Notamacropus eugenii: one gene and its partners. The protein of the gene in region 2 interacts with the protein of the main gene of each other region in a biochemical or structural test. Links are inferred from orthologs where the notes say so. Each region holds a gene or a part of one and is shown on either strand. Other genes may lie near its edges.

The links.
Region 1: of the proteins of RANGAP1 (region 2) and USPL1, one has a biochemical effect on the other in vitro, tested with the Homo sapiens proteins (2 studies listed by BioGRID). The link is inferred for Notamacropus eugenii from reciprocal best matches to the Homo sapiens genes RANGAP1 and USPL1.
Region 3: the proteins of RANGAP1 (region 2) and E3 SUMO-protein ligase RanBP2-like form a complex in vitro, tested with the Homo sapiens proteins (5 studies listed by BioGRID and IntAct, with this or other methods). The link is inferred for Notamacropus eugenii from reciprocal best matches to the Homo sapiens genes RANGAP1 and RANBP2.

The regions. Positions count from the first base shown.
Region 1 is NC_092876.1:199,236,379-199,247,114, reverse strand, and holds the start of USPL1 (SUMO-specific isopeptidase USPL1), read right to left. Parts: upstream 4,225-10,736; 5' UTR 3,988-4,224; intron 3,842-3,987; exon of another isoform or gene 2,109-3,841; 5' UTR 2,034-2,108; coding exon 1,935-2,033; intron 1,426-1,934; coding exon 1,297-1,425; intron 64-1,296; coding exon 1-63. UniProt on the Homo sapiens protein: SUMO-specific isopeptidase involved in protein desumoylation. Specifically binds SUMO proteins with a higher affinity for SUMO2 and SUMO3 which it cleaves more efficiently. Also able to process full-length SUMO proteins to their mature forms.
Region 2 is NC_092874.1:300,352,082-300,362,732, forward strand, and holds the start of RANGAP1 (ran GTPase-activating protein 1), read right to left. Parts: upstream 4,737-10,651; 5' UTR 4,624-4,736; intron 4,435-4,623; exon of another isoform or gene 4,302-4,434; intron 3,421-4,301; exon of another isoform or gene 3,342-3,420; intron 2,143-3,341; exon of another isoform or gene 2,010-2,142; intron 1,873-2,009; exon of another isoform or gene 1,870-1,872; 5' UTR 1,836-1,869; coding exon 1,724-1,835; intron 1-1,723. Other genes in the region: uncharacterized protein, read left to right, coding at 6,100-6,106. UniProt on the Homo sapiens protein: GTPase activator for RAN. Converts cytoplasmic GTP-bound RAN to GDP-bound RAN, which is essential for RAN-mediated nuclear import and export. Mediates dissociation of cargo from nuclear export complexes containing XPO1, RAN and RANBP2 after nuclear export.
Region 3 is NC_092877.1:204,447,493-204,458,043, reverse strand, and holds the start of E3 SUMO-protein ligase RanBP2-like, read right to left. Parts: upstream 4,509-10,551; 5' UTR 700-4,508; coding exon 628-699; intron 1-627. UniProt on the Homo sapiens protein: E3 SUMO-protein ligase which facilitates SUMO1 and SUMO2 conjugation by UBE2I. Involved in transport factor (Ran-GTP, karyopherin)-mediated protein import via the F-G repeat-containing domain which acts as a docking site for substrates.

The DNA of each region.
Region 1 (10,736 bases), on a different chromosome or scaffold from region 2:
ATTTTCCAAATCAACAGAAACTATAATGTTATCTAGTGACTTATAGCCCAATGGATAGATGCACTAAGAGGAAAAAGAGAATCAAAAAAGGTAAAAATGCAAAGCAAACAGTTACAAAGCTTAATTATCTTAACTATAGTCTTATTCAGGAATACAGAGAAGGAAAAGCACATCCTTTCCTGCTTTAAATAGCTAACATAAAGATAATGCAAAAAACAATCAACAGTTTTAATTTTTCTTTTTAAAAAGCCTCACAGAATAGTGTGGTACTCTTGGGGAACAGGAGAGGGGACTAAAAAAGTAAACAAATCTGAAGACCAAGAGTACTCCAAGAGAAAAAGCAATTTCTTCAGTGTGAGTACTCTCATAGATGAAGAGTTCATTCTCCTTCTCAGGGATTCTTATCTGTGCTTTTCCCTTTAAGGATTATGCCAGAGGTCTTCATCTTGCTCTCTTATTATCTAAGGGGTACTAACTATACTTAAGCTGTCTATTTGTTTCTGATTCTTGACATATACCCAGACCACCTCCCTTTCTGGTTATACACATCCTTGCTAATGTCTTTTATACAATTTCTGGAGCACAAATTAACTCTGATTACATGCTATGGCTGATCCATACCCACATCAACTATTTTCCCATTGCCTTCAAAGATATTCTACTTATTTTCTATCTTGATACAGTGAACAATTTTTCTATAGTGCATTAACACAATTTTAATAAAACATGAATTTCAAATAATTCCTCAGCAAAGACTTGCCAGGTCTTAAAATGTATGGTATACATGTGACAAAAAATTAACATGATTCAGAATAAAATTAAAATAGAATGAAAAACTGAAAAGTATTTGTTTGCAAAAATGCAAAGATTTATTTTTCTCTTCTATAGGTTCATTATTTTAGGAGTTCTTTTTCATCCAGTTTATCAGCACAGTTTCTAGAATGTAAGCATATAAACATTACTTATCACTTCATAGAAAACATGTTTTTTTCCCCCTACACTAGAGAACTAGAAACAATTATCCATGACTTCGTGAACTACACAGGTATAAATTACTATGATATACTTTCATGGATATTCCTGAAGGCCATTCAAAAACTTTTACTATCAAAATCACTTATAAAAGTTACTTCATTTGTACCTTTGTATCCCCAGTAAGTAATACAACATATGGGACACAGTAGGACTTAATAATGTTAACAGTCAGTTAACAGAAAAGTTCAAATAAGGTAGGTTACCTATTGCTTCCAAATACATGAGTTCTACTTAGCAAAATTCTAAAAATTAATTCATTACCTGTGGATCTTCACACAAAGAGATAGATTCTTGAAAACTGATTCGATAAGACTTTAAAGTTTTGATCTTTCCGTTCTCTCTACAGGCTGGACAGTACCCATCTGGTGTAACTTTAGCTGAATCACACTTCTGAGAAAGAAATAAAACAATGTAACATGTATGTATTCCTACTTAGTATCAAAAAAAGAAGTAGAAATACATTAGAAAATCTTTTCCATTCTCATACTAGCAGTTACACTAGCAATAATTTTTTAACATGGCAAACAAAAGAAATGAATATAAGGATTTAACATTTAAATTGTCGGTGAAAAAATAACATCATTGTAGTTTTAAAAGGTTTTTGTATTAAACTGCATCATTTTTATTTGCAAAGAAAAAGTGATATCAACAATGAACAGATTCCATGATTTTTAAGGTAAACCATAAGTTTTATGAAGTTAAAATAAACACGTTCTTATGTCAATGAAACAAAGGTAAATATATGGAAATAATCTTTCGCCATTGCTGTAAGATTTCCGTGGGAAGTATAATTTATATAAAAAAATGTTATTTGGTAAAAATAAAAACCAAATTAGTTAATGGATCAAAAACAGAAGAAAAAAACAACTTTGCACAGAGTGGAAAACAAGCTCACTGACTTTTCCCAAATACCCCACCATGTGGAGTGAAGATATCCCTATACCAGTGTCTTGTCCAATCACTGGCAAACCATTTCCAATCTTCTGGGAATCCATCATTCCGAGTCATTGGCTAATTTATGTAACTTGTCAATATGTCCTTAGTCAATATCACTAAGGATCTTTCAATGAACCCTGGAAAAAAAAAAGTCAACAGGCAGTTAAGTCAAAATCCAATCCATTTGATTTTAGAAAAAGTTCATGCTAAGTATATGTTGAAAATTAAGTGATATCTTGTGATAAAATGTCTGTGAAATTATTACCTAAATCACAATTTGAAAAAAAAAAGTATTAAAATTGACACATATCTTTTACATTCACTAGTCACATTAGTTAAACAAATTTTTTTTTCTGGTGGATCTGGAACAAGTTCTTCTCCCCTTCCTCTCAGGATCATTTCCAACAGTATACATCTTAAATACTATTTAACCTTTAAAAGAGCTTTATCATTTAGCAAAAAAGGCAAGCTATATTAAATGGAGTTTGAGGATAGGCACTGTTTAATTCTAGTAACAAAATGAAATGAGTATGCTAGAACTATGCTGGGAATATGTTTTAAAACGATTCTGTAACTGTTTTCAATTTTTGGATGGGGAGGAATGTATAGAGTTCTTGTTCCCACTTTATTTGTCGTTAAGATTTGCTCCAGTTTAATAGCACTGTTTTTCTGGGACAAGAATGAAATATTTAGTTTTTTGTTGTTGTTGCTAAGTAACCTACGTAAATTATATGACAAACAAATACATATAATACAGATTTTATGCAGGCAGCCAGGAGGGAACCCTAAGGAGTATCCTTAGCAGTTCCCAAACTCTGAATAGCACTGTTCCAGTAGTATCTTCAAAATCCCCTGAGTAGAAAAGATTTCAAAATATAAGTGTCAAAATAATTCAACGTCAAAGTGAATTTCAACTCCTATCTTCGACATCGTGGACACTTAAGGAAATTACTTTGGCCTAAATGCAAGTCTAAATGACACCTTCTCCCTCCACTCATCTCAATATTAAGCAAGCCAAATCAGTTCCATATATTTTCTTGCTTTGTTTCAATATAGATAATTCATACCCTAAACTTAGGGAGAAAAAGTAAATTTTTGGAAGGTACCTAAACTGACTTACAATTCACAAAGGAGACCTATTCTTAAGGAAAATCGTCCTCTGCCTACCCTGAAAAAAAAGCCTTCTTATATGTTAAAGTCAACATATCAGCTAAATCTAAGCAAGTGATCCTTTATTTTTCTTGAAGATTCCTTTATATAATTAAGTTAAACTAACAATAGGCTGAATTACTAAAAGCCAGTGGTGATTACGTTCTATAATGGAGAACCTGCGCATCCCAGAACAATCAGGGCTAATACTTAAGATTTTTTTAAAGACCTGGGCAGCCAATCACGTCGGGTGGTTTTTATCCGGGTCTAAGCCTAGGCTGAATGAATGACTGCATCACTTAATGCAAACTGACCCAATCACCAAACCAAAGACTGGTGACCTTATATGTTCTTAAGCAGGGATGGGCCAAGCCGGGCCTCGAGCTCAGTCCCCCCCAACCCCCAGGGCAGCCTGACAGAACCCGGCTCGAGTCCACTGCCCCTCATTCCCGCAGGTGACACGCAGTCCCACAGACCAGCTCTACGGGCACCGGGGACCATTCTGCTGCCGCTACCAGATCTGGATGGAGGCGCCACAGAACCGAAGGGAATCCAGGGAAGACCCCCAAGCCCATGAACACGCCCCACCTCCCCCGGCCGACGTGCGGTTCAAGGGGAACCCAGGTGGGGGAGGGGTTGGTGGCATCACCCACCTCAGGAAGGGACACAACTCTGGTTTCTCTTCAGGATTTACCTCTGGTATACGAAACCTACCCCAGCGCCCCACCTGAACCTCCCTCGGCCCCTCCTCGCCCCAGCCTCCAGCCGGTGGCGCGCAACACCGTAAGCTCGGGCCCCCTCCCCCTTTCCCGGTTTCCCTCCCCACTCATTCGGACAGGGACAGACAGAGCCCTCCAGTCCCCTCACCTGATGCTCGTGCCCGCCGTGCGCGCCCCGGGACCATTCCCACGCCGGCTCCGGCTCCGGCTCAGCCTCCAGCTCGAGCGTCGCGCGGCCTGAGGAAACGTTCAACTCACGTTTTTCCCCCTGGGCCGCTCCTCCTCCAGGAGGACAGCTTCTTCCTGCTCGTGTCCCTACAAATGCTTCCCCCTCAGCCCCGCCACGCTCACGAAATCTCGTTCCGGTCCCAGCCAGCCCAGCCGCAGCGGGGGCGGGGCAGAAGCGCGGAGCTATCACTAGAGCACTTCCGGCGGGGCTGCGCCTGGGGGCGGGGCCGGTGGTGGAAGAGTCCGACGCCCAGTGTGGGCGTCTCAGCTAGGAGAGAGTCACGTCGTCGGAATCCGCTGGAAATAACGCTAAAGCGGCCGAGGAGGAGGGCGGCGCGGAGGGTGATTAGAGCCGCTGCGCTGCCCGCGGCGGAGGGATTATGTAGTCCTTAGAAAGAGGCCGACTCCAGCCCTCCGCTGGAGGGCCTCGAGTTTTGTTGGGGTTTTTTCCTGGCGACCCTTGACCTCCCCACGAGAGCGCGATGGAGCTGGGTCTCCAGGGAGCTCGGGCCTGTTGTGGGTGTACTGCTGACACAGTGGGCCTCATTCGGGCGCACGTTGAGGCGTGCCATTGCCGGAGACCTCGACGTCCCAGAGACCCTGACCTTCCCCACCCCCACGCTCCTGGCCGTCCTCCCGTCCCCTCCCTCCTTCCCGGCGGGCTTTGCGGCGGCTCCCGGTAAGCCCAGAACCCTGGTGTCCCTGCCCCGAGCCTGGGGAGGACTGGATCTGCGAGGGCGCGTTCGCCGCCCTGCATTGGGCAGAACCTAGCGGGTACTGTTCGTGTCCAGACGCTCTCCCACAGAAGGGCACTGGGCCCGGGTGGATCCCGACGGCCCCCCGGCCTTTTGGAAACCGCCTTTCCCGTCCCGAGGGCGGCCGCATCCACTGGTCCTCCCCGCAGGACCGGCCTCGTGCCTTCCGTGGGAGAACAAGTTGGCGGTTCTGCCCATTCGCGTCCTTCTAGAGGTGGTTTTAACTGAGTTTAGAAACCATCCCGATCGTCGTTCGGGGCTTGGTTGGTTTTTTGTTTTTTCCAAAATCAACTTTTGTTAGCTCTCCTTGAACTGAAAGGTCAGATGGATCATTTTCACGTGAATTCTTAGCTGTGTTTGTGTGGTGGACCCCTGGGGGAAGCCTGTTGGTCCCTTTTCGGAATGATGTTCTTAAAGGCACAAAAATACGTAGGATTACAAAGGAAACCAATTGTATTGATTCTTCGTCCTCCTCAAGTGGAGGGCTTTCCCTCTTTTTCATTTCCAATTTATCCTATTCATATAGTTTATACATAATATAGGTGTGCTTTTTCCTCTATTAGACCAAGTTATTTCAGAACAAGGGACTTATCACATTACCTTTCTACATGATAGACTGTTAGGAAATATGCATTGACTGAATCAAAATATTTTAAAAGCAAGTTAAGAATTCCTAATTTTAAAGGGAAAAGGTTGCCCCCCACTTTGTCTATTACGTTAAAAAAAACGGAGGACTTAGGTTTCTGTTAAATTATTAATAAAATGTTTTTAAACTAATTTCACGTTAAACTATTCCTTTTATTAAAAAAATCCCTGATATTTACTAAAAATTTTCTTAACATCAATGAACAAAAAACCATTAAGTAGTTAATTCTCGCTCTCGCGCTGAAAAGTTGGGTTTAGTTTTTGTTTACCCACTTTAGAAGTAGATAGTCATTAATTCATTTTCATTTAAGACTCAGTACAAGTTCTCTAGGTAAGAGAAAATTGGTTAGGTTGCATTATCATTCCAGTAGATCTGTGACTTAATGTTTCTGTTATATGTTTTAATTCACTTTTATTTTCAGTTCTGAATTCTCTCCCCCCACCTAAAAGCAAGGAAAACAAAACATTATGAATATGTATAGTGAAAACAAATTTCCATATTAGCATTGTCATATGTGTGGGTATGTATATATTTATATATATATATATATATATGTATATATATATATATATATATATATATATATATATATATATATATATATACACACACACGCACGTATATACATATGCCTTAGTTTGCACTCTGAGTCCATCTTTCCATCTGAAGGTGCATAGTATGTTTCATCCTGTACTGAAGTTAGTCATTGTTATTCATTTTCTAAGCCTCTCAAAATTGTTTCTTTACAACATTGTTATTGTATAAATTGTTCTCCTGGTTCTGCACAGGTCACTGTGCATCACTTCATACAAGTAAGTCTTCCCAGATTTCTCTGAAACCATCCCCTTCATCATGTCTTACAGCATAATAGTGTTCTATCACATACGTATACCATTTCTTCTTGATGAGGAACCTGTCAGTTTCTAATTCTTTGCCACCTTGAAAAGAGCTACTATAAATATTTTTGTATATATAGGTCCTTTTCTTCCTTTGATTTCTTTGGGATATAGATTTATAAGTTATTTTTTTTTACTAAAAATTTTCTTAATATTAATGAACAAGAAACTTTCAGGGAGTTATTTCCCTAGCCCCCAAAGTAAAAGTGATTTGCTTTTGTTTCTCTACATTAGTGGAAGATTCATTCACTAATTTATTGACTCATTTTCAGTTAAGAATCAGTATAAATTCTCCAGGTAGAAGAAAATTGGTTAGACCATATTGAATCATCATTATTCCAGTGGATCTGGGATTTCATAGTATATATTTTCCTTCCAGAGACACAGATTGCAATCTGTACATGCCTGCCTATCTTGTTTTACACTCCTCCAAATCCATGTCCTCCTATGAAGGGAAAGAGATGCCTATCCAAAATGCTGGGAGCCTTCCTGATCTCTCTTCACACTGGGTTTTTATCAGTCCTTTTTCCTGTTTAAATAACTATCTACCTCTATTTATTTAGAGGATCCTTATTCATTACTGATATTACTATCCTTAAACTGGAACACAATATATTTGTCATAATAAACGTGCACTGAGTGCTGATTTAACAGCCTGAAAAAAATAGAACTAAATCTTGCCTTCCTAATTGGTTTACTAATTAAGTTACATTATAGTTCTTTAAAACTAGAAAAAACTGTGCAGACTGAATTGTAGCAAAATATCCAACTTTTTTGTGGTCTTTTAAAGTGTTGGATTTAGAGTTAAAAAACTGGGTTCTGATCCCAGCTTTGCTATTTGTTACCTGTGTGACCTTGGCAAGTCATTTAACTTCTCACAGACTCAGTGAGAGGGCTCTTCCAACTCTAAAGCTGTTCTGCTTTGATTCTATTTCATTGGCATAGCCAATTCCTGTTGGTAAAATTCCTTTCCTTGATATAAATTAAGATGAACCAAAAGGAATTAAGAACTGAGTACTGAGAAGTTAAGCGACTTGTCCATAGTTCGGACTTGTGGTTAGGACTTGAACTCAGATCTTCATCATTCAAAAACCAACACTTTATCGCTTACTACACATCCAATATTTATATTTGCAGAGTAATTTACAGTTTTTGCTTTTTCCATCATAGTTACCCTATAGCAAATTTGTTCTATTATCTCTAATTTACAAATAAAAACATGGAAATGTAAAGATATGACAAGCTTGATACATGTGGGAAGGGAAGGGGGAGGGAACAAGAGCAAATACAAATGCTTCAAACCCTGTTTTAGTAGGTTTCATTTTTCTTCCTTTATCAGGAGCTGGAAGTGTTAAGTTGATAGATTCCTTTCCAATCAATAACATTTTAAAATATCATTGATATATTTTAGCCACACTTCCATACCTCTACTTCATATCCCTGACTTGAACCTTCAGGACTCAGTTCAGGTGTTGCCTTCTACAAAAACCCTTCCACTCTGAGATTAACTTTCTTTTTACCTTGTGGGGTGTGTGTGTGTATATTTATTTATATTTATATGCTGTTACTTCCATTGTATGCAAACTTCTACAACGTGGAAGCTTTTGGGGTTTTTGCCTTTATATCACCAGTGCTTAGCCCAAGGCCTGGCACATAGTATTAGGCCTAATAAATAATCTGTTAATTGATAAGTCTATTGTGGCTCATTTGCAATCACTCATTTATAATATTATATGGAAATAAGGGCAGTTAAGTGACACAATGGATAGAGCACCAATCCTGGAGTCAGGAAGACCTGAATTCAAATCCAACATCAGATCCTTACTAGCTGTGTGACCCTGGGCAAGTCACTGAATTCTGCCTCAGTTTCCTCATCAGTGAAAAGAGCTAGAGAAGAAAATGGCAAATCACTCCAGTATTTTTGCCAAGAAAACCCCAAATGGGGTCGTGGAGAGTCACACACAACTGAAAAGTGACTGAATAACAACAAAAGGAAATGAGACAACATTAGAATGAGTGGTTAGAGTTCTGTCATGGGAGTCAGGAAGAACTGGGTTCATGTCCTGCCTCTGACATATACTGACTGTAAAACCCTGCACAAGTTAATTTTTTGGTGCCCCAAGGTAATTTCTAAGATTATAAATTAAAGAGGAGGCATTAACTTGCTGTAAGAAGAGTCTTCTTTCTGTATTTCCCTGTAACAAAAAAAAAATCATAGGTTTCTTCCCACCCTTCCCAAGGAACTGATAACCCTGCAAGTGTTTTCTCTCAACGTCATATTTTCTTGAAGTCATCTATCACCTTAGACTAGGTTAGGTAAGCCTCTACTGGAGAAGGGAAAAGGTAGAAATTATTGTCTGCCAACTGACATTTCCATTCACATTCTTAGGATCTTTTCTGTGGAATCATTGATGGCATGGATGATGAACTAGATCTATTTTGAAGGAAATAGCACACCTTTGGATTTAAGTGTCTACCTGGAACTGGTAGAGATAGCCCAATACCCAGTGCACAAGAGCACCCTGAATTGCAATGCACCACCACCATTAGCCTTGCTTCTTCTATATCATCTGATAATTCTTTTTAGCATGGGCCCAGATGGAAGGACAACAAAATGATGTTTTTATTAAATAGAAACTAAAGGAGGAACCCATTGAAACACAAATAGAAGTCTTGTTTTCACTTACTGCCTACTTCATTTTTCTTGTCTATTAAACATTTGTTCAGTATCTATTATGTACAAGGTATGGTGCTAAGCACAGGGATATAAATAAGAAGCTCTCTACTCTGGGAGCTTCTAATGGGAAGACTATAAGCTGTAAGTGAATTTAAAAGAATTAAGTGCTTACTAGGTTCAAAGTTCTGTGGTAAGAGCAGAAGGAGCTTATTTTCTAATGAGGAAGATAATAGACATAGGAGATGATAATGTATCTTCTTTAATGCCACTCCCATTGATAACACTATATCTGTTTCTGATATGGGACCTTTTGCCAGTGCCAAGTGACTTTTTTGCCTTAGGACCCTTGTCTATAGCACTGGCAGGGGCCTTTGTAAATTTCATCTCCCCAAGGGTTGCTGCCCTTGGACTGTGACTTTGGGTACCACCTAGAAGCAGGAGGTCGAGGTCACTGCTGTTCATGGGGCTTTTGGGATGGAGGGCATGAAGGGATGTAGTGGCCGCAGTGCTTTGACGCATCTGGCACATGCTATCCTATTTCTCCCTCAGATTTATTTCTTCAGCTAAAAAGTAAATACATGTTAAATATAAAAATAAGTGCAAATAAAAACAAACTATTAAGATGCAATTTAGTTTGAGGAAGAGGGCACTAGCAGTAGGAGAGCTCAGGAAAGGTCTTATGTTGGTGAGGTTTTATGTGGTGGTGAGGATTGTGCTTTATAAAGCTCAGGCTTGAAGACAATAATTCTTAGAGGCAGATAGGAAGAAATAGTAGATACCTAAGGGAAGTGCTCAGAGATTACATCTTTAAACTATTCCCTTAGATTGCCTTTAGTCCAAATTTAGAGCCCAGTTGTTTGACTCTAATCTCTGTAATTCATGCCCTAATCTTTTCTAACCCCAGCTAAATTGAGTTGTCTTAAGATACTCATGTCATCCTATACTGTGTGTTGTTGTGTTGACCATGACATCAGGATGATGACATGACTTGCAGTTGACTTTGATCCTCTCTAACCAAGTACTTTTCAAGAAATATATCATTTGAGCTAACAAAATCATTTATAGTATCCATACCACATTTGATTAAACTTGATTGGCCAAGCACTTTTAATATTTCTGATATGCCATAGTACCAGAGTTCACCAGGAGAGGCTGCTGTATTAGAAACAATCTCTTCACTCTGAATGTTTTGTTGTCTTAGACCTTGAATATATCCTGAGTCACTTTCTAGGTCAGGGTGACCCACTTTCCATCTGGTTCTGGTATCCATCAAAAGTTGCTTTGGTAGGGTCAGTCAAGTTTTTAGAGCACTAACTCAATTATTCAATGATCAACAAAGTACCTCAGTTTTTCAATGATTTATTGTTTCATTTATAGTATATGTGTCCCAAATAACTGTCACAGTACTTGGCACATATGGGTGCTTAATAAATACCTTTTGACTGATTACAAGGATGCATTAGAATCAGCACTTAAATCTGATTTGAATTTTAAACATACCTAATAATATGAAAGTTGAATTGCACATTTTTTTTGCTGTTCTGTATACATACCAACCCTAAAACAAAATTAAAAGTCAGTACCAGAGCCCTTGAGAGTACTGTTTAAATATATTATGTAGAGGAAATATAGCTACTTTTAATTTAGCCAAAACATAAATTACAGTTTTGTTATCATCAAATGTATAAAGTTATA
Region 2 (10,651 bases):
ATAAAACATTACAACTTCAGTGGCTGGTTCATAAAGGCCATCAAATCCAGCCCCCTGAAGCTGAGCTGCGGATTCCCCAGGACTATGGCCAGGGAGCACTCACTCTGGGCCATACACTAGGTATAAAACCATGAGCTTACAGTGATCACCAAGCATGGCCTAGCAGAGGGGAAAATGGGCCTGAAGCAGAGCCACTGTCTCACAAATCAGATCATGCATCTGTGTGGAATGGTGGCACTGTACCCATTTTACAGACTGGGGAAGTCATTCCATGCCCAGAATCCAGACAGCCCTGACACCTATTGTGGTATGAGGGCTCAACTCTCTTTCCTTTAAGGAAGAAGCACCATCTGGAACCTCTCACAGTGTGCCCAGATACTACCTGCACCTGGAGGCGGACCTTAGTACATGAAGCCAGGACTGAGGTAAACAGGTGCCCAAGATGAGCTTGTGACAGGGGGGGACATGACAAGAACCCCAAGAATGATGTGTCTTTTCAGGTGGTGGCCTCCCCTAAAGTCATGAGAGCCAAGACATCCCTCCCCTGCTGGGCCAAAGGATGCTGAGAACAAGCCAAGTTTTATTGGGCTGAAGACAACCTCAAAGAAGCTTCTAGGCCTCTGGGGGACCCAAGATTTAGTGCTCTGAGGACTGCACTCAGCATTTCAACCAAACTGTCCATGTAACAGCCCAGGTTACATGACTTGCCCAAAGCCACAAACAGGCCTGCAGTCTGCTAGCCATAGCCAAGGCCAGACCCTTCAAGCAGTCTGGGCTGGGCTTCAATTAGATCACCCTGACGGTCCCGTCTGGTTCTAAATCTCTGACCTAAGGAGCTGGCTCGCACCCACCCCTCACTCCCTTTTAAATTTTATTTTGAGTTCAAAATTCTCTCCCTCCTTCCAGCCTTTCCTCTGCCCATTAAGAAGGCATGAATATGATACTCACTGTACACATAATATTATGCAAAAAAAAATTTTCCAATTACCCCTTATTTAAAAAAAAATGATAAAGAAGCTGAGGTGGCAATTTAGGGTATTGAGATTAAGTGCCTGGCTTAGTAGCCACAAAGGAAGAGATGTCATTAGTTAGTATCAGAGTCTGGAACTAGGCCCAAGTTCTGCTGAATAAATAAAGGTTGGAGTGGCCCTGGCATCCATATGACCAGCCTGTGGCCAGGAAGAAGCCACCCTGGCAGGCCCTTGGCTTCATCTCCTTTGCTTTCCTGGGTCTATCAGAAGTCAGCCCTGCTAGAAATGGTGATCCTCCAGGCTGTGCATGCCAGACAGAGTCAAGGAAAAGGGTACGGTAAAGATCCTGGCCACTGCTATTCCCAATCAAACACTCTGCCATACCTTTCTCAAAATCACCTTGCCAAGTCACTCAGGCAGGATTTGTGGGCAAGCCCAAACCAGTTCCCCTGGTATAAGTAAGTGAGGAACTCCCTCATTCAGCCCATCAGCTGATCCCTAGGTTCTTCCCAGGGCTTAAGAAGCTGTGGCAGTGCCCATTCCAAGGAGTACCTGTTTTCTCTGGGGTGAGATCTCCAGGGACAGCATGGGCCTGCAAGGCTGGCAGTCATCCCTACAGTGAAGGTGGGGGGAAGGAAGAAGGGAGTCCAAAGAAGCCAATTCTAGGCTATATCTAGCTCCCAGCTCCTCCTGGAACCCCATGAAGGCTGAGGGGGTACAATGTTGAAGGTTGGGGAGGGGTAGGGTCTCACCATCTTCTGCCGTATTGAGTTTGAGGCTTTTGCCTTTGAAGCTGAGCTGTCCTCCGCCCACCTGGGTTCTGGCCAGGCTTTCGGCGAGCTTGGCAATATCCTCAGATGCCATGGTCTCAGCTGCTTTGTTAAGCTTCCTCCCCAGGCTGCTGAGAAAGGCACCATCCCTCATCATCAAAGCCATTCCACTTGTTTGCTATTTCACAATCCCCATAATGCCTTGGTGAGATCTCCAGGGCCTCACTAAAGCCAGGGATCAACAGGAAGAATAAGGGTGTTTGCTTGCCTCAGGTCCCAGCTGAGAAACAGCAAAGTCAGGTTTGAAGCCCAGGCTGGAAGATCCCAAAGCCAGGGCTTTGGCCATATTGTCCCCAGGGCAGGGGCTGGAGGATGTTAAACATGAAAGACACAGCCTCTCCCTGAAGCAAGAAACATTTATTAAGCACCTACTACATTGAGTACAGTCCTGAGGGAAAACCCAAAGTACAGGCAAGAGCTGGTCCCTGCCAGCAAAATATGTGTCTGGCAAGAGGGGTGAGACACCAACTTGGTGGCTGGAATATATGTTCTCATGACACATTACAGACTTATGCCATGTAAGGTTGAAAAGGGGCGGTCGCAAGTGACTGGGTGCAGAGGGAGCATTTAGAGGGAAAAGTCTCTCGAATGGTCCCAGGGCTCCAAGGGACCTTGAGGGCCATTGGGTCCAAATCCCTTGTTTCGTGGGCAATGTAATGGAGGCCCCAGGGTAGTAATGAAATGAAGAAAGGAGGAGGGATCCAGATCTGGCCCCCATGTGCAGGCCAGTGGTCTGTCTGCTGGGGAAGGCTTCAGCAGCCCCTCTTCCAGATGTGAGCATCCAGCTCCTACTGAGATGTGCCTCAAACAGCAGGTTTTTACACAGGTTGAAACCCTGGGCAAAGGGGAGTTCTGTCTGGCCTGACCCAATGAAAGGGCAAGGCAGACAAGCTCTGCCCTTTGCTCCCAGGCCCTCAGTTCCTGCTGCCCCCTGACTCTACCAGCTGGGACAAAACGGACAGAACCATGGGATTTCCTTAATTTGGAGTTGTCAGCAGGGCTGCAGATCCAGGAGAACATAATGTAAACAGGACTAGTGACTGGCTGTCCTGGGTCAATCTCCTACTGCCCTCCCCCAAATGGGCAGAGTGATTAAAGCGATCCATCCAGGGAGAAACCCAGTGCCTGCACTGGCTTGTCTAGGGTGGTGGGAAGGGGTAGGTGGGAAGAAAGGGATTGTCACCTAAAGACTGAAGGTTCAAACTCAGAACCAGTTATCCTCATCAAGAGCTAAAGGCAGGAAGCAGGGGCTCCTAGGAGACAGCAGACTCTACATCACAATAGGCTGGCCTACTACTGCGGGACAAAGACCACCCCACCCCCTCCAAGGGCAGGGCAGCCCAGAAAGAACCCCCAAGTTGAGGGCATAAGCCTGTAGAAAGCCTTGATGGGGGGGGGGCACAGACTGGTGAAAGATAACTGTTGTCTTGGGGTACCACCCTCTCTAGGGGACACAAAATAGAAACCCGATGGGGGTTTTAAATGACACCTCTATCCTGAGGTGAGGGAAGGTCAGGTGGCGCAGGAGAGGTTTGAGTACCTGGGTGGAAATTAGGGCAACATTGGATTCTGAAGCAGAAAGCTTCAGATTACAGAAGTAATCAGTAACATTCACATGTCTGTGGGGAAAGAAAGCTAGATTTTAGAGAGAAAATTGGATGTGGGTTCAAATCCCAAGACCCAGCTATGGAACAGTGACCAGCAGGTTCCTGTCAGGGCCTGATTTCTGGTTGTGGGACATTTACTGTGGCCCCCCTTCCAGCTCCAAGTTCTGCCCAGTCCTAAGGGATGGGTTTCTACCTAAAGCCCTGTGGCACACCTTGAGGGCTCACCCTCAGAGAACCATCCACAGGCGCCTTCCTTCCCAGAGTACCAGGGCTCAGGGCAAGGTGAGGAGACGTCCCCCGCAGGGCGCCCCTTTCTCCCCTGCTGTGGGCGGCAGGAACCCTCGGAAGGCAGCTCCTTGGAGGCCTGAGCAGAGCCGGCCCCAGGCACTGTCCGAGGTGCTGGGGGGCCTGTCCACAGGGGCTTGCGTGTGGGTGGGCCGGGGCGGTGCGGGGCCCTGCGGGGAGGCCAGGTCCGGCTCGGACGGGCCCCTCGGGGTCTCCTCCCATATCAGGACCTCGGCCAGGCCTCCTAAGCGGGCCCCGGGGTTCTCCGGTACAAGGTGGGGGCTGTGGTCTGGGTCCCCCCTCCTCCACTGATCTCTACACCATGTGACCACCTGGGACGAGGGTCAGCGGGGCGGGGTCCTCCCTGGTCTCGGTCTCTTCCTTGAGCCTAGAGCTCTCCCCACCCCCTCCGAGGCTCCGGCCCCCGAACGGCCGGCCCCCCGACTGCGCGCTGGGCCTCAGCTTCCCCCGCTGTAAAAAGCGGAGCTGAGCCACGTGATGCTCCGAATCGCTACGCCGCTCCCCCTCCGGGCCTCAGTTTCCCCATCTGCAGCCCTCCTCCCTCCGCTTTCTGCCCGCAGGGGCCCCGCGGGAGTCGCCGGACTTACGTGCGCGCGGGCGGGAGAGCTACGGGCGCCTCGTGCAGCGGCGGCCTCGGACCTCGCGCTGGACGCCCTCCTGCGCACGCGCAAGGCTTCTCCGGGAAGAGGGAGGGGGAGAGGAGAAGGGGGGGTCCGCGCGCTGGGGGGAAGGGGGAGGGGATCAAACGCGGGAGCCGAGGGGCGTGCGGGCGACGGCGGCGGAGGCGGTGGCGTAACGCGGCGTCACGATAGGCCGGTGACCGACGGCCGCCCACCCTCCTCGCTCGCTCCCTCCCTCCCGCTCCTCGGGCGCGCGCACCAAGCCTCCCCCGCACAAACGCACACTCACACGCGTCTCGCCCCGGTCTCCGCAAACAGCCCCTGCGCCTCGGGGCCGCCGATCGATGATGGCGGCGAGGGAGAATTTTTGAAAGCCGGCAGTTTCTTTCCTGCGATCTGATTTGCTCAGGCTCTCTCCGCCGGGCGTTTTTTCCTCCAACTTGTCGGGGGAGCCGGGAAGTGTAGTTCCGTCCCTTCGGCTCGCCCTAGGAGCCGCACCGCTTTCTGACTACACTACCCATAGAGCCGTGCGCGCCACAAACCGGCTTTCCTCCCTTCCCATTCCCGCGAGATCATCGACCCGAATCGGACTGGCTCGTGGGCTGGGCGAGGAGACTACCATTCCCGAGATGCGCCTCGCCGCTTTCGGTCCTGGCAACGGCAGACTGTCAACAACTTTATTTAAAATTGGACGGACAAAACCCCAGCACCGGGGCTCCCTCTAGTGCCTTCAATTCCTTAAAGCAGGGATGGGGGCTTTGGCTCTGTTCTGGGTCGTCCTCTGGGAGGGGGCTGCCCCCAGCCTGGGAGGAGGGGCCACGTGGAGAGCGCAGCTGCTCCGGGCGTGGTCAGAAGGAGCTGGCCCACCCCCAGGGGAAGATGATGCCCCTGATCGCTAATAGTAAAGAGATGCCCACGAAAACCACCCCGAGCTTCCATCTTGAGGCAGTCAGACTGGCAAAGGTGGCAAGACAAAATGGCGATTGTTGGGGAGGCTCGCTAATACATTGTTGGTGGAGCTGGGGTCAGGCTAGCAGTTTGGAATCCTGTTTTCCCCCTCCCCCCAAGTCACTGAACCGTTGTACGGACCCATTGACCCATCAGTTCAGAACCAAGACCAGACCTAGACCAAGGGGACCAAAGACCAGAAGGAAGGGACTGAAATCTACAAAACTATTGCAACAACTGTAGAAAAAAGATAGGGGACGACTGAACAACTGGTGGCATAGTGATGTGATGGAGGTTACTGTTAAAAGAAATAAGGACTGTGGCAGAGGAGGAGTTCGAGAAGACTCTTGTGAACTGAGACCCGGAGAAACGAACAGAACCAGGTGAACAACTTACACAATGATAGTGAAAAGAGGGGGAAAAGCCTTTGAAAGACTTCAGAACTGGGATGGCATTGATTCGGACTTAGAGGGCTGGCGGTGATGGACATGGGATGGACACCGCCTGTGTACGGCCAACTGGGGACAAGGGGTTGATTTGTTTTCCTTACTTGTTATAAGGGGGAGGGAGCTTCTTTTTGGTGGCAGGTGAGTTATTGGGTGGTGATAGAGCACTGATAAAACACTAACGAAGTGTAGAGGAAAGTGAGAAAGGAGAAACAAAACTGGCAATTTTGTTGCTACTTTGTTACGTTTGATGGTTACCTGCGTCTTGTCAAAGATTCTGGAGCGGTTTGCCATTTCCTTCTCCAATGTATCTGCATTTTACAGATGCGAAACGGAGGCAAAGAGGAGTTAAGTAACTTGGGGAGGATCGCATGGTCGGTAAGTGTCTGAAGCTGGATTTGGACGCGGATGTTCCAGACTCCAGACCCAGTGTTCTATCCACTGCACCACCTAGCTACATTTGATAACATACTTAAAAAAACCAAAACACCCCAACAAATTACATGTAACTGAAGTTCATTTTCATAGACTACACTATTGTTAGTGTTCATTGATTATTTTCATAATTTTCAAAAAAGACGTTTATCTTAATACATGTTAAGCCTGCTACGTTTCAGAGACTGCAACAAACACTGGAAATTTCAGTGGCAACAGCAAAGAAAGACAAAAATATAGTACCTGCTGTCAAGGAGGTGGAGTGGTACAAACTCTGGTGATACCAAATAGATAGAAAAGGCCTTGATGGGTTTGTCAAAAATTGGGTTGTTACAACATTGTGCTCTGGTCAACTGTAATAGACTTAGATCTTCTCAGCAGTATAATGATCCAAGACAATTCCAAAGGCTCATGATGGAAAATGCTGTCCACAGTCAGAGAAAGGACTGTGGAGTCTGAATGCAGATTGAAGCAGATTATTTTCTCTTTTTTTTCTTTCTCATGTTTTTTCCCTTATGTTCTGGTTCTTCTTTCACAATGTGGAAATGTGTTTAATATAATTGTACACGTATAACCTACATCAGATTTCTTGCCATATTGGGGAGGGGGAAGGGAAGGAAAGAAGGGAGAAAAAATGTGGAACTCAAAATCTTACAAAAATGAATGTTGCGAAAGAAAGAAAGAAAGAAAGAAAAGAAAGAAAGAAAATAAAAGCAAGCCAGGGCTGTTGAATGGGGTCCAACTGGTCAGGAACATGGCCAGTCCAGCAAATGCTTTACAGAGAAATTTCACTCACATGTGTTTCTTTTCCATGGAGATGGAAGAGTGGAGAGAATATCCTAAATGAGGGGTTTGCTTTTGAAAATTACCATCAGACACAAGAAGACTTTCTTCAGTAACAAGATAAATTGGGGTGGTTTATTTAGTTGAGTATTTAGGGGCATTCCAAAATGAGGGAACGTGCTTTCTGGAACAGGGTAGTCACCTGAACTGATTGAAATGAGTCCTTGACAAAGCTGTTTAGCCACTGTCACATTCTCTGACTGTTTCCAGGCTCCTAGATCTTCAGCCAGAAGAGACTTTGGAGGCCATCAAGGCTGGCCCCCCTCATAGACCCAGGGAGGTAGTAGTAGCTTACCCAAAGTCACCGAATCTTAGATCTGAAGCCTGTCATTTACACTGCCTAGATCTTGGACAGAGATTTTTTTTGTACTGTGATGTCTAGCATTTGCAGTTTGTATGTTGTTGGAGATGTAAGCTCTTTGAGGGCAGGAAATGCTTTTGCTGTGCCCTCAACACTGGGCACAGTACCTGGTACATAGAAGTGATTTATTAATGCTTGTTGATCAGTTGATGGAGTATGACTCCCTTCCCCTCAATTTTACAGGAAATACAAGGAGAGGAATCACATGACTTATCAAGCTTACATTGATAGTAACAGAAGTGAGATTCAAACTCAGGTCCTTTGATTTCAGAGTCACAATTCTTTCCACTGTTTCAGATGTCTCCCATATTCTGCTCTTGACCAGAAACAATTTCATTGTATAGAATACTTAACAAAGCAACAACAAAGCTCCAAAATGGGCTTAGAACCAGGCGGAAAGCAAAGAGAAGTCCCCAGGCTAAATGATGAGGTCAGCACTTCTTCTTTCCCTTTACCTCTAGGGTCTGCATTTCCTGGTCTTCAAGTGGGTAGTAACATTCTGGGCCCCTTGGGGAAGGATCCATCTATTTCTACACAGTCATGGGACCCACCAGTGGGCAGGGTAGCTGTATCTTCAGCAATTATCCAAATTCTTTAGAACAAACAGAGCCTCTCACTTCCCAGGACCACAGACTCTGGGAGCTGCAAGAGGCTTCCCAGGCCATTAGACCAAGCTGTGCCTGAAGAAGAATCTCTTCTATGACATTGGAACATGAGGTGGTTCTCTGTCTTTGCTTGAAGACTCCCAGTGAGGGGGAAGCAGAGATGTGCTGTTAAAATGTTTAACAACTGGCTCTCCAGAAGAAGAAAAAAAGCCTAACAAACCTGAGATACACTTTTAAGTTTAATTTGCATTATTAACATTTTATCCATCTTTTTATTAAGTCTAGACAATCAACAAAAACAATCAAATCCTGATTTGTGTTGTTGCTTAGTTGTTTCTGACTTATGACCCCAGCTGGGGTTTTCTTGGTAAAGATACTAGAGTGGTTTGTCATTTCCTTCTCCAGCTCATTTTACAGATGAGGAAACTGAGGCAAACAGGGTGAAGTGACTTTCCCAGGGTCACACAGCTATTAAGTGTCTGAGGCCAGATTTGAACTCTGGCCCTCATATCTCCCTTGAATCTTCTCCAGGGTGAGCATCCCCAGTTCCTTCAACTAATCCCCTTACAGCATGAGTCTGAGGCCCTTCCCCATCCTGGTGGATGACCTCTGGAGCCTTCCCATCTTCTCAGAATCCATGATACTCAGAATTGAACACGTATAGCTTGGTGGGCTGGGAGGTGGGGACCTGCATTCCAGAATTGTCTCTGGCACATCGCCTATGTGACCTTAGACAAGGTCTAAGAAACTGGACCTCAGTTGTAAAATGAGGAGTGCCTGACTGGTTTCTACAGTCCTCTCCATCTCTAAATGTAATATTTCATTTCATCCTCACAGAGCCTTTATGAGGTAGACAGGAAAGGAATTAGCCACCCTGTCAACCAACTAATAATAAGACCAGAACCCAAACCTGAGCTCAGTTGTCCTGACTCCAGCCTGCAGCCATTTCCATGACACATATGTTTCTCTTGGTGTCTGTCATTCTGTTACTATCTAGTGTTGTGACATTGAATATTTTCCTACCTGGACCTGTTTCCTCATCTGTAAAAAGAAAGAATCCAACTCCAGTTTCCCAGATGCAGTAATTTATAAGGGCCATAGATGATGAGACACCCTAGCTAGTGAATTCAAGAGGCATAGTGATTGTGGCATCATTGTCAAAAAACACTTAATAAGTGTTACTGTGTTCAAGGTGCTGTGCTAAGCGCTGGATGGGGTTCTCTACTTGGAGAAAGGAAAGCGCTGGTTCAAATCCTGCTCCAGATACTTATTAGCTATATGACCTTGAACAAGTCACTACACATCTGCCTCAATTTTCTTGTCTGTTAAAAACAAAATGAAAGGATTGTTCTAGATGGCTGCTGAGGTTCCTGCGAGCTCTAATGAGTTTAGTTAATGTTTGAATTTCTATTTCTCTAATCAATAATAATTTAAAACTTTTTAAAACTGCAACTATAAATTGTGTTGCTTTCTTTATCGGAGAACTGCCTGTTCATATCCTCTGTCCATTTATCAGCTGAGGAATGATTCATACTCATAGATTTGACAAAGTTCTTTACATGTTTGAGACATGAGACCTTTATCTGAAAAGCTGTCTATAATTTTTTCCCTTCAACTTTCTGCTTTCCTCAGTTCTTGGCTACATTTGGTTTTATTTGTAGAAAACCTTTTAAATTTAAGTTAATTGAAATTATCCATTTCACACCTCATTCTCTTCATAAATTGTTCGCTTATCCATAAGTCTGATAAGTAAAATGTTCCATGTTTTTCAAATTTTCTTGTAATATCTCTCTTTATATCTGGGTCATGCATCCATTTTGATCTTATCTTGGTAAATGGGGCAAGATATTGGTCTATGCCCAATTTCTACCAGACTGCTTTTCCCAACAATTTTTATCAAATAATGAATTCTTGTCCCCAAAACTCAAGCCTTTATGCTTATCACATACATATTCATTTGCTGCTGTGATTGTACGTCTACTCTGGTCCACTGATCTACCTTTCTATTTCTTGGTCAGAACTAAATCGTTTTGATAATTACTACCTTCATAATGACTTTGATAAGTATAATCTCAGATTGCCCATCTGAAAATGAGGGCATTGGACCGGGATGAGCTCTAAGGTGCCTCCCAGTTCTAAATAATGCCAGATTTAGGTTCAGTATAAGGAAACACTTCCTAACAATTGGAACTGTCCAAAAGTAGAATGGGCCCCTTCGACAGAGGGTGGGTTTCTTCTCCCTGGGAGAAGTCTTAAGCAAAGTCTGGATGAGTGCATTTAAGGAAGTTGTCCAGGGGCTCTTGGTTTAGGTCCCGAATGGATTCATGGCCTCTGGGATCTCCTCCGACTCTTAGTCTGACCTCATTTGAGTCTCCTAAGACTCTTAGGAGTGAAGGTCCAGAAAGACTTTTTACCCCATTTTGCAGAGAAGGAGGCTAGAATTGGAGAAGGGAGATGACCTTTCAGTATCTGATTAGATAGCTAGTAAGTCTTGAAGGTCAAAGAGATCGTTAACCTAGGTCTTCCCGTGTTCTTCACTCAATTCTATCACTTACAAAACTCTTGAAAGATGCCCCAGCTCCCAATTAAGCTCTTGGAACTTTGGCTGGGAAAGATCATTTGTTGAGTATGCCAAGAGCTGTGCCCTTCTGTCAGCCACTGTATGTGCCAGACTCTGTG
Region 3 (10,551 bases), on a different chromosome or scaffold from region 2:
CCCGGACCCCACCACGCACCCGCGGGCCCTCTCCCGCTTCTGCATCTCCTACTGAGGGGCCAACCCGTGCAGACCCGCCAGGGCCGGGCCCTCCCCCGCTGTTCTTTCGGACTCCCGGCCCAGGGGAGGCCTGGCCGCTGGACGAGGGGCACGGAGGCCGGGCCGGGCGGGCCTCGCCGCGGCGGCCGAGGAGGGGAGCGGGCGGGCGCGGGAGCCGGAGCCGGAGCAGGAAGGGGGAGCCCGCGGGCCGCCGCCGCCGCCTTCTCCCGGCCCCCAAGATAAACACTGACGTGGGAACGGGAGGCGCGAGAGGGAAAGGTCAGAGCGGGGGGAGGGGTGACAGCGGCCGCTCTCCCTCCTCCCCTCCCCTCCCGCCTCTCCCCGTTTCCCAGGCGGCCCTCGCGCGCCGTCCCCAGCTCCCTCCTTCCCTCCCCCGCCCACCCTCGTGGGCTGGCGCGCGCCACCCCGCCCAGGCGGCGCGCGGGCGGCCGGCGGCTCAACGAAGCGCCCTGGGGGAGAGGAGGCGGCGGCGGGGCGGGGGTGCGAGCGAGGGGCCGGAGTCCCGGCTCCCGGCCCGCCGGGCTTCCAGAAGCTGCCTCTGGCTGCGCGGGCCAGCTCGTCGCTTACCTCTCGAGGGGAGGGGGCGGAGCCCTGCACCGAGGCGATGTACCGCTCCACCTCGGCCTTGCTGCGCCTCATCGCGCCTCTCACGCAGTCCGGGGGCTCTCCGGGAGTCCGGCTCGGGGAGCCCGGCAGCGTCGGCCCTACGTCTCCGGGCTCGTTGCGCCTAAAACTCAGTGACGCCGCCACCGTCGCCGGGGCCTAAACGGCGGGCTGACGTCATCTGCGTGTTACGTCAGTGCTGCGCGCCGCGGCGTTGACGGAGGCGATTCCGCCAGGGAATCCCGCCCCGAGGGACTGACTGCTGGACAGGGGACAGCGCGCGGAGGCGGGCTCTGCGTGGGCGCAGCTCGGAGGCCGTCCTTGGACCTGGACGGGTTTGCGTTCTGCCCCTTCCGCCGCCTCCCTGGACTCTGCCCAGCCCCAGCCGGGCCTCGGACGGGGCGGGAGCTCCCTTACCGCGGGCCCAACACGATCGGGGGATGGGAAAGTGCCTTAGAAGAAATAGTGCACGATGACCCCACTTTGTGTAATCGGGGTTACATGGCCGCTTTCTGGAGGATGCAGGAGGCAGGGGGGAATTTGGAACTCCAAAATGTCTAATTGAATGTTAAAAAATATATCATTGAGAAATAGCTCTAACTTTTTTTAATTTTAAAAACAGCGGTAAGGCGGGGTGTGGCTTATATGAAGAGGCCAGGTCTCGTGGGTTCTACCGGGTTCGAACTGGAGGGCACGCAGAACCAGAGAAGGCTGTGTGGACCGCTAGACTGGACCGAAGCCCTCCTCCGGCCTGCCAGGCCAGCTCCAAAGACTCGTGGTGGCCGGTGCTGCCCGGTGCTGCCCACACCCGGAGAAGGAGCTGTGCAGTCGGGCCAGATCGGAGCACACCCTTTCCTCCCTTTGCTGTTTGTTTTCTCCCCTTTGTTCCGATTTTTCTTTCACAACATGACTAATGTGGAAATGTTTAATACGATTGTACGGGTGTAGCCTCTGTCAGACTGCATGCCGTCTTGAGGAAGGGGGGAGACTTCACAACTCAAAATCTTATAAAAGTGAATGTAGAAAACTAAAAGTCATTGTTTAAAAAATTTAACTGTTTCTTTAAAATAGCACTTAAGGGAGTTTTATAGAGCTTTGTAAATAACCCATTTCATCCTCAAAATAACCCTGGGAGATGGGTGTAGCTCTTAAACCCCTTTACAGAGAAGAACCTTGAGGCCCCTCCAGGATCGCACAGCCACAAATTCCTGGGGCAGGGACTTGTTGGAGGGACAATTCACCCAAAGGAATCCGGTTTTATGTGTAGAAAAGCAGTCCTGTGAGTCCGTCCCAGGGATGGTGAGCTGGGGAGGCACTCTGTAGGGTTAAATAGGAGCAAGGGTCCTATTCGTTGTGGCTTACCCTACAAGGAGGTCAGCACAGTGCCCAGCATCTAAAGGACTGGGGGGAAGGGGAAGAAAAAACGAAGGGCCTACAATGTACCAGGCAGTGCGCTTAGCACTTTACTATGCTAAAGACATTTTCACAGTCATATTGCACGGAAGAATTAAAACGAATGGGAGAAACCATGAGAAAAATGAAACCAGAACATAACACATGAGAAAACAGTCTTTCATTCCGCATCCCGATTCCATAGTTCTTTCTCTGAATGTGGATGGTACTGATGCTCACAATAACCCTGGGCCATAGACACTATTATCATTTCCACTTTACAATTGAGGAAATTGGGGGAGACAGAAGTTAAGTGATTTGCTCAGTCATAAAGCTATTAAATGTCTAAGTTTGGATTTGAACCCAAGAACCCAGTGCTCTATGTGTGACACATCGTGTGACACCTTGCTGTAGGCAATGTCTTGCTGACTATACAAATAACTTTTCTACTAATCTAAATTTTTTACCATTGGAGTAATTAATGTAGTTTATAACCCTCCTCTGCTAACCCTAAGTCCCTTTCTCTCCAGAAGATCATAATTGAAATGGACATACTGAGGAAGCCCTTTACCATTAGAATAGATGAGTTTGTTATTATTAGACACCTTGGATCTGGAGAGGACAGAGGAATTTTACTAGTGGGAAAACAAGGCTTGGACAAGTTCAGGACATGGGAGAGAGAGGGAGATTTACTTCAGCACCTGGTTTAGGTCCTCATATTCCAGCAGTTATCGTTACACTAGTAATTTTGCTGACATAGTGAAAAAGACTAGTGAATAAACAGCCATTTCAGAATCTTTGTAAGCCCATTTTTGGGTTTTCTTGACAGATACTGAAGAGATTTGATTTTGTTCAGGTAGTTTTTCGGTCATGTCTGACCCAGCCTGGGTTGATATCCTGCCTCTGATACATCTTGGCTGTGTGACTCTTGAGCAAGTCACTTAAACTCAGTACTCTAGGCCAGAGACGTCAAACACAGCCCACAGGTCCAAACCAGATTAAAATACATTTGGGAATTATTTTTGAAAATAAATGTAAATGCAATAAAACAAAGATAATATTGTATTTTGAAGAACTAAGTTAATTTTCAACCCATGAGGATCCTTCTGCATGGATTAATGATGCCTTTCCATTTAGAATTTAACACCACTGCTCTAAGCAGTTCTCTGAAACAAGGGGTCTTTTTAAAAAAAAAAAATCAATCTATTTGTTTTTAGTTTTCAACAATCACTTCCATAAGTTTTAAATTTTCTGCCCCTTACTCCCCCCTCCCTCCTTGAGATGGCATGCAATCTTATATGAGTTCTACACGTACATTCTTATTAAACACATTTTCACATTAGTTATGTTGCACAGAAGAATTAAAATGAATGGGAGAAACTATGAGAAAAATCAAACCAAAACATAACACATGAGAAAACAGTCTGTTTCATTCTGCATTCCAATTCCATAGTTCTTCACTGGATGTGAATGGTATTTTGCATCAAGAGTCTTTGGGAGGTGGGGGCCACAGCCAAGATGTCAGAGTAGAAGGATGGACCTGCTCTAGCTCTCCCCCCATAGCCCAAAAAATACCTGTTAAAAAAATGACTAAACAAATTCGAGGTGGTTGCTCAGAGATCAGAGCACAGGCCAGGAGAGGAGTAAACTCCTGTCCCTTAATTGTGCCACCTTGGAGAAACTGAGAACTTACTGGTCCCTAGAGATATCTCAGAGAACAGCTACACAAAACCTCTGAAGCCTAGGGTAGTATACTCTCCACTTGGCAAAGGACTCAAAAATCAAGTAACTGGCTGGGGAAACGCCCAAAAAGGGGGTAAAAAATAAGACTATATTACTTTATTATTATTATTATTTACTATATTATTATTATTATTTACTATATTACTTTATTGGTGAAAAGGTATTTTCTTCCATCTTTTTGGATGAGGAAGAACAAAGCATATCATCAGAGGAAGACAGCAAGGTCAAGGCTTCTACATCCAAAACTTCCAAAAAAAAATATGCAATGGGCTCAGACAATGGAAGAGCTCAAAAAGGATTTTGAAAATCAAGTAAGAGAGGTGGAAGAAAAATTGGAAAGAGAAATGGGAGCAATGCAAGAAAATCATGAAAAGTGAGTCAACAGCTTGGTAAGGAGATCCCAAAAAATGCTGAAGAAAAATGGACTAACCCAAATGACAAAAGAGGTCCAAAAAGTCAAGGAGGAGAAGAATGCTTCCTAGAAAAGGAGGTCCAAAAGCTCACTGAAGAAAATAATTCTTTAAAAATTAGAATGGAACAGATGGAAGCTAATGTCTTTATGACAAACCAAGAAATTCTAAAACAAAACCAAAAGAATGAAAGAAATAGAAGACAATGTGAAATATCTTATTGGAAAAACAACTGACCTGGAAAATAGATCCAGGAAAGAGAGTTTAGAAATTGTTGGTCTACCTGAAAACCATGATAAAAAAAAAGAGCCTAGACATCATATTCCAAGAAATTATCAAGGAAAACTGCCCTGATATTGTAGAATCAGAGGGTAAAATAGAAATGGAAAGAATTCACCTGTTACCTCCTGAAAGAGATCCCAAAAGAAAAGCTCCTAGGAATATTGTAGCCAAATTCCAGAGTTATCAGGTTAAGGAGAAAATATTACAAGCAGCCAGAAAGAAACAATTCAAGTATTGTGGAAATATAATCAGGATAACACAGGATTTACTCCTACATGAAAAGATGTTATTTTTAACTCACGGGACCTTTTTCATTAATAGGAAGGGAGAATACCCAAAAAATAAAAATTTACTGTTGAGTGGAATGTATTAGGAGTAAGAGAAAGGTAGAATGTAGCAAATCATCTCACATAAAAGCCGTAAGACAATGGAGGGGAAGAGGAGGGAGGTGAATTAAATGAGCCTCTTGTGGAATTTAGCTTAAGGAGGGAATAACACAATTGGATATGGAAATCTATTTTACCCTGCGGGAAGGGAGAAGGGAAGGGGATAGGAGAGAGGACAGCATTTGGAGGAAAGGGATAATCAGAAGCAAACACTGTTGTGGGAGGACAGGTCAAGGGAGAGAATGGAATAAATGCAGGGCAGGAGAGGACAGAGGGAAATATGGTTAGTCTTTCACAACATAACTATTATGGAAGTGTTTTGCATTGTTACACATGTATGACCTATATTGAGTTGCTTGTTTTCTCAATGAGGGTGGGTTGGGAGGGAGGAAGGGGGAGAACATGGAACTCAAAGCTTTAACAATGAATGTTAAAAATTGTTTTAGCATGCAACTGGAAAATAGATATACAGGCAATGGGGTATAGAAATCTATTTTACCCTACAGGAAAATAGAGGGGAGGGGGATGGAAGAAGGGGGTGGTTATAGAAGGGAGGACAGACTGGAGGAAGGGGTGGATGGGGTGCATGTTGTCCTGGGGTGGGGAGAGATGGAGAGAAAATTTTGAATTCAAATTCTTGTGGAAGTGAATGTTGAGAACTGAAAAATAAAAGATATTAAGAGGAAAAAAAAGAGTCCTTTGGGAATGTTTTAGGTCCTTGCATTGCTATGAAGGGCTAAGTGTATCAGAAGTAGTCTTTGCACACTGTGGCTGTTATTGTGTATCATGTTCTCCTGGTTCTGTTCATTTCACTCAGCATCAATTCATATAAATCCAGGTTTTTCTGAAGTCTGACTGTTTGTCATTTCTTATAGCACAATATTATTCCATTACATTCATATACCACAACTTGTTCAGCCCTTCCCCAGTTGAAGGGCATTCCCTCAATTTCTAGTTCTTGACCACCACAGAAAGAGTTGCTATAAATATTTTTGTACATGTGGGACCTTTTATCATTTTTATGATCTCTTTGGGATACAGCTTTAGAAGCAATATTGCTGGGTCAAAGGGTATGCACATTTTTATAACCCTTTGGACATAGTTCCAAACTGCTCTCCAGAATGACTGGATCAGCTCACAGCTCCACCAGCAATGAATTAGTGTTCCAACTCTCCCACATCTTCTCCAACATTTATCATCTTCTTGTTTTCTCTTGTTAGCCAATCAGATAGGTATGGTGTGGTACCTCAGAATTGTTTTGATTTACATCTCTCTAATCAATAGTGATTTAGAGCATTTTTTCATATGACTATAGATAGCTTTAATTTCTTCCTCTGAAAACTGCCTGTTCATATCCTTTGACCATTTATCAATTGGGGAATGACTTGTTTTCTTGTAAATTTGACTCAGTTCTCTTATATTTTAGAAATGAGGTCTTTATCACAAACATGAAACAAGGGGTATTAATGTGAGGGGTTTTTTATATTTTTAAATGAAAAAACAACTATTTTAATATAATTGATTTCCTACATATTGTACTTTATGTATTTAAAAACATGATTCTGAGAAGGGGTCCACAGACCTCATCAGACTACTCAAAGGATTCCATGATTCAAAAAAAAGGTTAAGAATAGTTCGTATAGAGGAAAAAGAGAAAAGATACAGCCTTAGGCCTAGTAGTTAGTGGGCATTGTGCGAATGAAGATCCAGCAAAGGAGAATAAGAAGAAGAGTCAAACAGGTAGAAGAACCAGGAGAAAATAAAGAAAACCTGGAGAGAAGAGATCATCGAGGGTGTCAAAGAATGATGCTATAAATTGGTTTCATTTAATCGCTTTTTCCATTTTATGAGAGGGTTCCTGGGGATTTTGGGGTGGGTAACGACGGGGAGATGTTAGAGAATACTGGAAAATGACAGTTTTATACAAACAAAGATATCAATATAATGTTAAAATGTAAAAATAAACTAGAGATGACTAGTAACATTGTAATGTAGAAACCCTGCAAAATTTCCCAATAAAATCAGAAGTGAAAAAAAAGATTATTATTATTATTTGACATAGTTCTAGAAGTACTAGCTAGCTAAAGCAATAAGGCTAATTAAGGGAATAAGCACCTGAAAAAAAGGAAAAATTGGCAATTTACTCACAAAATAGTAAAGAATTAAAAACTAGACAGTTCAGCAAAGTAACAAGATATGAAATATCAATAAGACTCTCGTATTAAGGTCCTACTATATGCCCAGCACTATACTAAGTCATAGGGATACAAAAAGAAGCAAAAGACAGTCCCTGCCCTCAAGGAGCTCACAATCTAATGGGGGAGACCACAAGCAAACAAATATGTATAAACAAGCTATATAGATGATAAATAGAAAATAATTAGGAAAGGCACTAGAATTAATAGGAGTTGGGGAAGAATTCCTGTAGAAGAGGGGACCTTAGCTGGGGACTTCAAGGAAAGTGGGAGAACAGTAGTCAGACTGAAGGAGGAACAGCATTCCAGGCAGGGTGGACAGCCAGAGAAAATGCCCAGAGACAGGAGATGGATTGTCCTGTTCATGGATTTTAAGGAAGAAAATAGGTACGAATTTACTATGAGGGAAGCTGTGAAATGCGCCAATTCTTTTAAAAGGCAATTTGGAATGATCAAGATATCACAAAGTTTTTCATACTCTTTTGTCTAATGATCTCATTGTTGGTTTTGTACCCCAAAGAAGCTTTGATATAAAAAATGACCCATCTACACAAAAGAATCTTCATAGCAGCACTATTTCTAACAGCGAAAAGCTCAGAGCAAACTGTGTACATGTGAGAGAACAGCTGAACAAATGAAAAGACACCATAATGCCTCAGAAAGATGGAAATAAGGACTGGATGACAAGCACTATGCTAAGCACTGGGGATACATGTGGATAAGCCAAATAACCCCTCACTCTCAAGGAGTTCATAATCTAATTAGAGGAGAAAAGAGGGGAAATTAAGTCTCAGGAGTTAAGAGGACAAAGGGGCAGAGCAGACAGTAAAGTTTGATAGACCTTAGCAGTTCCAAAGCAGAAGGTCACTCATTAATGACCATTGGGAAGCAGATAGTGAGTGGGATGTGGGCTCTGAATAATCTCAGGGAAGGTTGGTGTTGAGGGTAGGGAAAAGGGGAGGAGGAAACGTCTAAGTCTGAGGGAATATCCATTAGGAACTGAGCAAGGGAGCAGAGGAAAGGAAGGGTTCCCTGAATCTTGTTCCATTTTTTCTCCAAAGAAAAAAGTCCCGCTTGCCCATTTGATGCTGTTTCGTTTCCAGGCAACAAGTTGAAAAACCAGCAAGAGTGGCTGCTGTGGGGGGCTGGAGCCCTTCCCATCCACTGCCCACAAGCCAATGAATGGACACTTGAAAATAATAGCTAGTTATTAGCTATTATGTATAAATATTTTAATTAAATACCATATGAAATAGATATAATAAATTATTTGTGCACTGTAATATGTATCTTAATATATTACATGCACAATTATGATATTGTGAATGTTGTGTGAGATGTAATTATATAAAATAGATAATTATAGATAGAAATGTATACTGTATTAATTACATATAAGATAGAATTATATTCATATATTAATTACATCATATAAACCATATTATTATATAGTTAATACATTGATGTATTAATAACTAACAATTAACTACAGATAATAATAACAGTAGTTAACATTTATATAGTGCCTACTATGTGCTAGGCACTGTGTTAAATGTTCTACAGATTATCTCCTTAGATCCTCATAACCACCCTGACAGGTAGGGGCTTTTATTGTCTCCACTGTACTTGAGAAAATTGAGGCAAACGGGTTAAGTGACTTGTTTGTGGTCACTCAGCCATTAAGTTATATCTGAGGCCAAATTTGAACTCAGATCTTCCTGACTTCGGGTTCCTGGGTCACCCCAGGATGACCCAACAAGAGCAAGAGTAAAATATAAATAGGAAGAATTCGAAGAAATGTGGACAAACTTGTGCCTGGTGATAGAGTGAGGAAAGCAGACACAAAATAACAATATACTCAGCAATTACAACTACATAAAATAGGCCAGGGAAATGGAAACAAAACTCAGATGAAATAAAATGGATACTGTTGCTACTTATTTGTTAAAGTTAGAGGTCACACCCTTCCCTTCAAGTACAGAAATGTAGAAGTATCTAGGTTGTTCAGGGATGACTAACACCTGAGACGTGAGGTGGCCACCTGTGTCTCCAAGAAGCTGTCGGATGCAGAGTAGCCACAGCCTGTACTATCTTGGCAGATGGGCTAACCCAGGTTGAGGTAATAGACAGGTCTCAAACTCATCAGTGAGTTACGGAGATGTCTACCCCAAGCACGTGAAGACTTGCCCTGGCAGAAATGGCAGATCAGAACAATTTGTTTCAATGGCTGGATTTGGATTCAGGAAGAGGAGTCTTTCACAACTCCAGGCCTGGCACTCTATCCATTGAGCCACCTAGCTATTCTTATTTCATCCTTCCTACCTACAAACATGTCCAATCTCCCTAGAGTTAGAACCTACCATCTTCTCAAGCAATAGTCCTATCTTCTCCCTTTTTGGGCCAAACTCCCAGAAAAAATTCTGTCCATTGTCTTAATTTCCTTTCATTCACTTCTGAATCCTTTGCATCCTGGCATTTGACAACATTCAATTAAAATTGCTTTCTTTTCTCATTGACACATTTGGTTGCCTTTTCTCAGTTCTCATCCTTTTTGATTTTGTAGCTTTTGGTACTGTTGTCTACCCTCTACCCTTGAATGCTCTCTCCTTTCCAAGTGTTTTCTCATGGTTCTCCATCTGACTGTTCCTTCTCTAATCCATTTACTGGATTATCATCCATATCATACCCCTAATGGTTGGGTGCACAGACCTCCAATTCTATCTTTTCTTTCTCTGCAAACTCTCCCTTAGTGACCTCATTAGCAACAACAAGTTTAATTATATCTTTGAAGATGACTCAGATTTCTACATTTAGTCCTAATCTTAAAATAACCGGGAGGTATAGTGGATAAAGCACAGGATCTAGAGTTAGGAAGAGCTGAATTCAAATCTTGCCTTGAACAGTTTCTAGTTACGTAACCCTGGGCAAGTCATTTAATCTCTAACCTCTGTCTTGGTTCTATCATCTGTAAAATGAGGATAATAATAACATCTCCCTCCCAATGATGTTGTGCAGATAAGATGATATTTTAAGTGCTTTATAAACCTTAAAGCCATATATACAATATATATGCTAGTCATTATTATCATTATGTTAGACTTTCTCCTAAACTACCATTTTGCCTCAACTACCGCCCGTTGGACATTTTGACTAGAAGCCCCATAGACATCTCAAACTTATCATGTCCAAAACAGAACTCATTATATCAAACCCATTCCCTTCCAAACTTCCCTTTTTCTGTCTGAGGCAATACCGTCCTCTCTGTTGATATGCAAACTCCAGTCATCTCAACTCTCACTATCCCCTCACACAGGACACTAGTCTTCTGTAACCATGTCTTTGTACTGTCTGTCCCCCATGCTTGGAAAACTTTCTCTCCTTATCCCTTCATCTTAGAATCCAAGGATTCCTTAGATATTCATTTCAAGGGCTTCTGGTCCCCCCAGGTGCTAGTGTTTTCCCCTACAAAGTTTCCTTGTT